Oryctolagus cuniculus: one gene and its partner. The protein of the gene in region 2 interacts with the protein of the main gene of each other region in a pairwise test. Links are inferred from orthologs where the notes say so. Each region holds a gene or a part of one and is shown on either strand. Other genes may lie near its edges.

Region 1 (4,452 bases), on a different chromosome or scaffold from region 2:
GCAATTATCTTCTTAATTCGTGCATTTGTTATCATGCAGGGTAGGGAGTTTGGTATGTTTGAGTCACCTTTGTGTCCCTAATACTTTGCGCAGTACCTGGCATAGAACAGGTTCTCAAAAAATGTGTATGGAATGCATGCATGAATGGAGATTAAATAATATTGGCTAACATTAACTGAGCACCTGCTGTATTAAGATATATATATATATTATATATATATATGCCTGTCTTGCTTATTACATGGTCCCAGATATCCAGAGCAGTGCCAGGTACAAGGCAGGTGTTCAGTGCACCAGTGGTGATCCAAGTGGATGCGGCCTCTTGAGGTGGGGGCTGGGCAGGGGCCCCTGGGGGGAAGAGGTTCTGGCACATCCCACCCCACCCCTGCTTCTCTCATGTCAATTGGGATCCCAGAGAGGAGTCACACCTGAAGGGGTACTCAAATTCAACCTCGATGCTGAGGTCACTCTCCGTCTTGTTGGCACACTCCACGCTCAGCCGGAGCTCCCCACTGTAGCTGCCGCATGTGGCAAAGGCGAAGATGGCAAAGACCTTGGGTAGCAGGGATGGCGATGGCCACAGTGAGCCTGTGTGCACGTGGGAGGGGGGTGCCCTCCTCTGGACAGATTGGGGGCCCAGCAGAGGCAGCAGCAGATGGAGAGGTTCCCCGCCCCCACCCCCTAATCAGGGCTCATCGGACCAAGGACAAGCTGATTACAGGGGTGTGGCTATCTCTTCCTGTTTCTCTCTCCCTGGGTGTCTCTCCACGCTCTGACTGCCCTCCTTCTCTGTCTCTGTCTCCACCTGCGTCAGTCTGTCCCTGTCTGTCTCTGTTCTCTGCGTGGCTCACTGCATCTCTATTTCTCTTGGTTTCTCTCTCTCTCTCTCTCTCTCTCTCTCTCTCTCTCTGTGTCTTTGCCTTTCTCAGATGTCTCTTTGTCTCTGACTATCTCTGCCTCTTTCAGTATCTCTTTTTTCCCTAGGTCTTTCTGTGTGTCTCGCTTTCTGTCCGTGTCTCTGTCTCTCACCTGGTGTCTGTATGCCTCTCTCCTTGTCTCCCTCCTGTCTGTTTTGCTGTGTGTTGTTTTTTTTTCTTTTTTCTGGGCGTCTTTCCCTCCCCCACCTTGTTTCCCTGGTTGTGTCCCTGTGCCTATTCCTCTCTACATCTCTGTTCTCTGTGTGTCTCCCTCTGCCCTTCTTTGTCTCTTTTTGCTTCTCTCACTCATCTTTGTATCTCTCTCTCTTTTTTTTTTTTTTGCAGCATTTTTGTCTCTGTCTCCATCATTCTCCATCTCTCATTCTCTCTGCGTCCTTCGCTGTTTCTGGGTTTCTTTAGTTTTGAGTCTGTCCCCCAGAAATTGGCTACAGGCTCCACCTCCCCCCCTCACTTCAGGAGAGGAGGTAGGACGTCACTTCTCAACAGGGGTACTCTTGGCCCTGTGACGTCACAGCCTGTCTCTGCTCTGGCCCCAACCCCCCCCCCATGTCACCCTGGAGCCCAATCCCCCCCATCCCCTTCCACCCCTCCTATGCATTCCTTACTTTCCCCTCTACTCTGCATCTGCTCTTCCAGACCCCACAGCTTCTCTCCCTGCATCCCCTACCCCCACCCCAGGAGCCCAGACCTCACTCACCCATTGCAGCACCTTCACGAAGCCGAGGGGCTCCTTGACCACCCGGAACTGACCTCCGGCCACCAGCTGAGGAGAGAAACGCGGGGAGGGGGTGGGGTTGTTGGAGGTAGAGAGGGAGGCCAGGGGTAGGGGTCTCAGGGGATGCACCCAGGGGATGGGGCACGTGACCTCGGTGCGGGATGCAGGGGGAAGGTGATGTTCAGAGAGAGGGTAAAAAGGAGAAAGTAACACCTTGAGGAAGGCATGAGCACCAGGATCTGTGAGAGAAGACCCATCGCGGGGTTCAGGACTGGCGGAGAGGTTGGGGTGATGGTGAGTCAGATGGGAGAGGAGTTAGGGATGAGGAAGATGGGGTTAGGGTCCGGATTAGTGGGGGAAAGGGGAAGGTCTGGAAGCCAACTGTGAGTGAGGAGGGGAAGGGGGTCGGGTGGAGAGGTCGAGGAAGGAGTCGGGTCCTGGGGTGGGGGAGGGGGTCTTGAGCGGTGAAGGTGAGTCATCACCAGGGCGGGCGGGAGTCGGGTTGGCTAGAGTGGGGGAGGGGTCTGCATGGTAAAGCTGAGTCAGATGGTGGGGAGGGGTCTGAGGCGACAGGGATGGAGAGGGGTTTGGTACTGGTTAGGGAAGGGGCGAGGTTCGGAGGTGCTGAAGAGTGAGATGGCGGAGAGGGTCTGGACCCATGAAAGTGGGGGAGGGCCGGGACGCGGCTTCACTGGGTTTGTGTTGGGGGAGAGGAGATGAGGGGTAGTTGAGGAGGCAGAGCCGATCGCGCCCCCCCAACCCCCCGCCCCCGGATCTGCTCTCAGGGAAAGGGTCCTGGTTGTCAACCGGGGTGCAGTCTATTTGGGAGGGGCGGGTGTCAGCTGTCCCTCACTCCCGCCCCCGCCCCCACACCTTATGTCGCTCTATTTCCTAGCTCAGTCGCAGCCCCCAGTCTTTCTTCTACTCTCCCCCCCAACCCCCCCACTCCGCCCCTTCCCCAGTCCTGAGAATCCCCCAGCCCCTAGGCCCCTTCCTCCTCTCCTCGAGGTCGCCAGTAAATCGCGGGGCTTCTGGTGGTTCCCGCTGCGACAGTGAGGATGGCCCTCGCTGCGGCAAAAAGCGCACACCTCTCCACCACCTCCCCTTTCCTCCCTTCGCCTGCCGCAGACCCCCCAGCCCCAGCGCCGGGGACCGGGTCTGTGCCGTCAGGACCCTGGCCACCACCTCTCAAGAGTCGGCGGGCTGAAGGGAGCCGCCGGCTTCGGCGGCTGGGAGCGGCGGGCTCTGTCCGCGGTGCTGGAGCGCGTACCTGATTCACCACGTCCATGTCTGCCAGCAGCAGCATCAGCAATGCAGGGGGCGAGAGGCGCCTGCTAGCAAGGGCGGGCGCGGGGCGCGGCGGGGGCGGCGCGCGATCGTCGGAACAGCCCAGGCGGCTGCAGCCCCGCCCCTTGCGCTCCCACCCCGCTCGCCGCGCGCCTGCGCACAGCCGGCTGTTCCCGGCCTCCATTCCAGCCCCGGGGCTGCAGGCTAGCAGTGTGCTGGGCGCATCATTCCCTCTGAAAACATAACTAGAGGTCTGGGGACAGAAAGGACCAAGTCATCCTAACGTATGATGTTTCGACGGGCCTTTTTCTGAGTTTGTTAAATGTGTTCACCGATTTAATCCCTGCGTGGAAGGGACTATTAGCCCTGCTTTCACAGATGGGGAAAATGAATCCCCAGAGAGGTTAAGTGACTTACACAAGGTCACCCAGCCAATAATTGGCAGTGCTCCGAGTCCCTGTAGTTTGAACATAGTTCAAGGTCTTCAGCGTTCCTTTTGGGAAGTCTGCATCTTGAAAACCTCTCCCTCTCTCCAACTATCTCCCTTGCTCCCACTTCTCTCTCCATCTTGCTCAAATACTTGCCTACTCCAACCCTACAGGTTACCTCCTGTTAACTCCTCAGTGCTCTCTTAACTGCTCTCCCTGTCCTTGGCTACGAAAACCAGGTCCATCAAGGTCAATGGTGATTGCCATGTTGCAAAATCCGATGGATCAAATACAGTTGAGGCTCAAGATGCTCAGCCTCACTCACACAAAAAGAAATGCATATAAAAATTACTAAGTGCTTACTTGCTAGTACATCATCTTTTTTTTTTTTAAATAAATGTATTTATTTGAGAGAGAAAAAGAGAGATTCCAATTGCTGGTTTACTCCCCAAATGCCCCAAACAGCTGGAACTCTGGCCAGGTCAAATCTAGCAGCCAGGAATGCAAGCCATGTCTCCCACATAGGGGGCAGGAACCCAAGTACTTGAGCCATTACTTCTGCCTCCCAGGCTCTGCATTAGCAGGAAGTTGGAGTCAGGAGCTGGAGCCGGTATTAAACCTAGGCGCTCTGATGTAAGACATGGGTGTCTTAACTGCTAGGCTAACTCCCTGTACCAGGTGCATCATTTTACATCTATACCTGACAACACTGATTGCCTCCAGAGAGGAGGGAAAATTTTGTACCTTTTGAATTTTGAAATGTGTATATAGATTTAAGCATGGAAATCCACACAAATATGTAATGGATGCTTTCTAGTTGTTGCCTTGTTGGGGGAAGCAGTATGTAGGAGCGGTTAAGTGCATGGGTTTTGGCATTCAACTGCTTTCATTTGAATTCCACCTCTAATGTTTACTCCTGTTTGACCTTGAACATGTAATGGTTTAAAATGATACCTATAGGGGTGTTGTACTGATGAAATAAGATAATCGCTGTAATGCCCCCAGCACAGAGCCCAGTAAATGGTTCATTTTACCTCTTTCACATCTCTGGAATCCACTCACTTCTCACCATCTCCTCTGCCAC
Region 2 (4,382 bases):
TAAGTCATATTTTTACCTGTCCCATATGACGACAGTTCCCTAACCAGTTGCCCCAGTACCTATGCAACTTCAGTCATTGCACTTGTTCCTTCTGCCCTCAAATGCTTCTGGAAGGAAGGAAGGAAGGAAGGAAGGGAGGGAGGGAGGGAGGGAGGGAGGGGAGGGGGAGGGGGAGGGGGAGGGGGAGGGGAGGGGAGGGGAGAGGAGAGGAGAGGAGAGGGGAGGGGAGAGGAGAGGAGAGGGGAGGAGAGGAGAGGAAAGAAGACTCTATTATACTTGTTTGAGGTCTCTCTGTATTTCATCCTATCAGAAAGCCTTGCCCTGACCATCCTAGCTACACAACATAGCAACAACCACCACTTTGCCTATTACCTTATTCTTCTGGCTTTTTTTCCTCTATCATCTGATGTATTTACAAGTTTATTTTCTGCCAGAATGTAAGCTCTAGGAAGGAAGATCCTTTACTGATTGTATTTCCTGCTGTATCACCAGTGTCCAGAATAGTGATGGAAGAGATGGACTAGGCACTTAAGTATGTAAGACCAAAAAGAAAATTGACAGCTAACAGATTAGGACAGAATGAAAAAACTTTTCCCTAAAGAGATGGAAAGAATCATTAAGATTCAATTGAGGAGGTATACTCTTTGCGATCTTTGGTAGATTTACTTTTTAAAATTCTATCTACCAACAATTTAAATCACACTAAATTCCAGAAATGTGTCCTATTTAAGTAGCATGGGTCATATAAAGCATTGTATAGTGTCAAATCTGCACCAAGGATATAAAATCACAGGTAATGGCACCACAGCAAAAAATATGGAAGGCTCTAGTCCTTTATTGTCAGCAATGTTAATTCTAAGTGTCTCAGAAATCAAAATTCATCTCAGACCCTCTATCATTCACTCCCCTTGCACCATGTTTTTGAACTATTGGAAACAGGCTAATTGAAATCAAGAAAGTATTTTAACTATAAAAGTTCAATGTCTTTACATTATACTTAATATTTTAGGGAAGAAGAGGTAGAAGACTTAAGATGGGTAGTTTATTATCACAGAGATTTTGGAATTCGAAATCAAAAGCTAGGAGGAATTTCTCATTTCTTCAGTGTTATTTGTTGCTGTTATTGAAACACATCATGCTACCTTATATTTAAAGTCTCTCTAGGCCACAGCATTCTATTTCCATGTATCTTAAACTTGCAACGGCTTATTCAGATAGAGAAATTAGTTGGCAGTAGTAGGCCAGATGGCAACCAGTTGTTTACTACCCGTGCAAGTTAGGCAAGTTACTGAACCTCTCCGAGGCTGCTTCCTTAGACATAAAAGGGGGTTAGTAACACCTACCTGGCAAAGCTATGGAAAGGACTGAAGGGAGTTAGTCAAATGAACAGCGAACTACTTGACATACATACAAGTGTTTCATAACATAGGCAGTTATTACCTTGCTCTGGCTCTTGCATGCTTTTGGTGAGACCAGTGCAATGTTAGAAGCAACTGTGCCAAAACTGAGGTAAAGGAGACAGGAATGTAGTAAAGCAATGGGACAGGTTTGACATTTCAGTATGCGTGTGAGAAATTAATTTCATTTTCTCTTTACAAAAGAGAATGCTGCTGCTACTGTGACTGTGTTATTAGCTTAAACAGCAGATTGTTTACAACCATGTTGTGAAATTTACATCTGTTCCTGGATGTAACTGACTTAGCACAATGCGGATGACGTCTGTAGAAAGCTAAGCTCCCTGGTACTGACACGTCCTTGATTGCAGCATTCCCAGAGCTAGTCAGTCTATAGTTCCCCTTCAAGTGTATCAAGCATGCCACTGCGGCTCCGGACACCACGTCAATCTTCCCCCCACCCCTCTCCTTACTCCCCAGCTGAGTTTGCACAACGAGAACCCCAAACTCTGGGTCTCTTGGCCCTGGCAAAGTTTGGACGCCAACTGGCGATGTGCATTTCCGCCCCTCCCTCCCCCGGGGGCTGCCAAGCCCAGGGACAGTCCTTTCAGGAAGACAGAGGGCTGGAGGGAACTGCCTTGGCAGAGTTCTCTGGGTTGAGGGGCTGGAAGAGGAAACTCCCTTCTCGGATTCGGCAGGGAGGGCCAGAGGCGAAAGGAAAGCGTGGGGGTGGCGCCCCAATGGTCTGCGGCGCTCGTACCCGCCGCGCTCGCCAGGCGCCGCCGGCCCCGGGAGGGGCTCACCCGGGCGGCCAGGGCAGCGCCTCGACCCGAGGTGAACTCAAGGTGTCCTCCAGGGGCGGGAGGGAGGTTCAGGCCCCGTCCCCACCCCGTCTCGCTGCCCCAGAGCGGCGGTTGGAGAGGAGCGAGGAGGAAAACGCCCAGCGGGACCGTAGGGGCACCAGGCCGCGCCCATCGCCCGAGCCTCGGCCGCAGCAATGCCGCCGGGCGGCCGCCGCCTCCTCGGGCTGGGCGCTCGGGGGCCCCTCCCAGGTCCCCCCTCGGACGCCGCCACCCTTTCCCACCCCCCACCCCCCCCAGCCCCCAACCACTGTGGTACCTGCACGGCCCGACTGAGGAAGGTGCCTGCGTCGGCCGCCAGCTTCTTCACGTTGAAGTCCATGATGTTCATCCCGGGAGGCAGCCGGGCGGAGCCGCCGGCTGACCTAGCGGGGAGGCGGTGGCGCCGAGGCCGGGCTGGGGCGCCGGGCGAGAGCGGCGGGGGCAGACGTGGTAGGTGGAGGGAGGTGGCGCCAGCGCCGCCGCCGCCGCAGCTGTCGTTTCCGCGAAGGGGGAGGCGGAGGGTGGGGCGAGGATCGAGTACCAGCGCTTCAGAACAGGCTGCGCTCCCGGGCTGCGGCGGCGGCGGCCGGGAAGTAGAGCGCGTCCAGCCGGGAGTGGGGCCGCCAACGTCCGCGCAGGTCGCGGGGGCCGAGCTGCAGGCCGACGGGCGTCCCTGCCTTGTGGGGCCGGGCCCCCGTCGGAGGAAGCGAGCGAAGCGCCGGCCGCGGGGCGGAGCCTTTCCCGAAGTTATCGCGGGAACAGCGACCCCTTGAGGCTCGCGGCGGCTCCGCCGCGGGGCGTGCCGGGAGCTCCTCCCGCTTTGGGCCTGCCAGGCTGGAGGGACTGCTGTGGAGGGGGTCCCAGCGCTCTGCGCGTTTGCCTTCAACATCAAAGAACCGGGAGCGCAGACAACCAAGATTCCTCTTTTTTTTTTTTTTCCACCTCCTGAACGAGAAAACATGTAATTACAGAATAGAATTGCAATATCTATGAAATTAGAACAGGCTTCGGTCATCTTGTAGCAGCTGGGTGTGCCGCTGGTCCGCGAGGCTTGGATGGCACTCAGCTCACCTCTTCATAATAGAGTTCAATTTAATGTCCCCATGGGGACTGTAGCCGATTCATTCAGCATTATTGAGTACCTACTGTGCACCAGGCTCTGAGTCAGGTGCTGAAGACACCACACTGAAGAAGGCACTGTCAAGCGCTCAGTCCGGTTACTTGACTTTTGAAAACCTCCCCACTCCCAGCAGAAGCCCTGTGACTCTTTTTTTTCTTTTTGGACAGGCAGAGTTAGTGAGAGAGAGAGACAGAGAGAAAGGTCTTCCTTTGTTGGTTCACTCCTCAAATGGCCGCTATGGCCAGCGCTGTGCCGATTCCAAGCCAGGAGCCAGGTGCTTCTTCCTAGTCTCCTGCACTCCATGTGGGCACAGGAGCCTAAGCACTTGGGCCATCCTCCACTGCACTCCCGGGCCACAGCAGAGAGCTGGACTGAAAGAGGAGCACTGGGACTAGAACCGGGCCCAGGGTGCCCGCGCCGCAGGCAGAGGATTAGCCAAGTGAGCCATGGCGCCAGCCTGCTTCAGGGACTTTAGGTCTCTCTTGAGGCACTTGCTGAATTACAGAGCCACACAGGTGCACACTGTGTGCCAAGCACACAAAGCACATGCTGGGGACACAAAGGGCCTGGTGAAAGCGGCAAAGAAATGTAAAATGGTGAGTGACTTAGGGTAGTCTTAATAACAATGCAGCCTGACTAGTGTTAACCATTAAGTAAGATTGTGAAGTTCACAATCCTTGCATCCCCAGTAACTTCCTAAGCAGTTATAGCCTATGTTAACAGCCTGTGCTAGAACAAAGTAAGACAGATACAAACATGGAAGGAGATGCATTGCTGTATCTCAAGAATAAGAAAACCCTCGCTGGTTTTTGTGGGGTGATGCCCTTTGGATTTAATGTGGCTGGGAAAATGTAGGCCCAGTAAGCAGTGAAGTGAGCTGGCATTCAGGCTTCAGAATTTTACTGAAACAGCGGTTATAGAAGCAGTTGCTGCTCATAAAGGTTGAAAGATGAGTGCAGGCCGGCGCCACGGCTCACTAGGCTAATCCTCCACCTTGCGGCGCCGGCACACCGGGTTCTAGTCCCG

The links.
Region 1: the proteins of SH3GLB1 (region 2) and SYP interact in binary tests that used the Homo sapiens proteins (3 or more experiments, as listed by UniProt). The link is inferred for Oryctolagus cuniculus from reciprocal best matches to the Homo sapiens genes SH3GLB1 and SYP.

Annotation. Positions count from the first base shown.
Region 1 is NC_091453.1:34,296,347-34,300,798, forward strand, and holds the start of SYP (synaptophysin), read right to left. Parts: upstream 3,070-4,452; 5' UTR 2,960-3,069; coding exon 2,924-2,959; intron 1,702-2,923; coding exon 1,636-1,701; intron 554-1,635; coding exon 429-553; intron 1-428.
Region 2 is NC_091438.1:84,410,910-84,415,291, forward strand, and holds the start of SH3GLB1 (endophilin-B1), read right to left. Parts: upstream 2,955-4,382; 5' UTR 2,586-2,954; coding exon 2,514-2,585; intron 1-2,513. UniProt on the Homo sapiens protein: May be required for normal outer mitochondrial membrane dynamics. Required for coatomer-mediated retrograde transport in certain cells. May recruit other proteins to membranes with high curvature. May promote membrane fusion.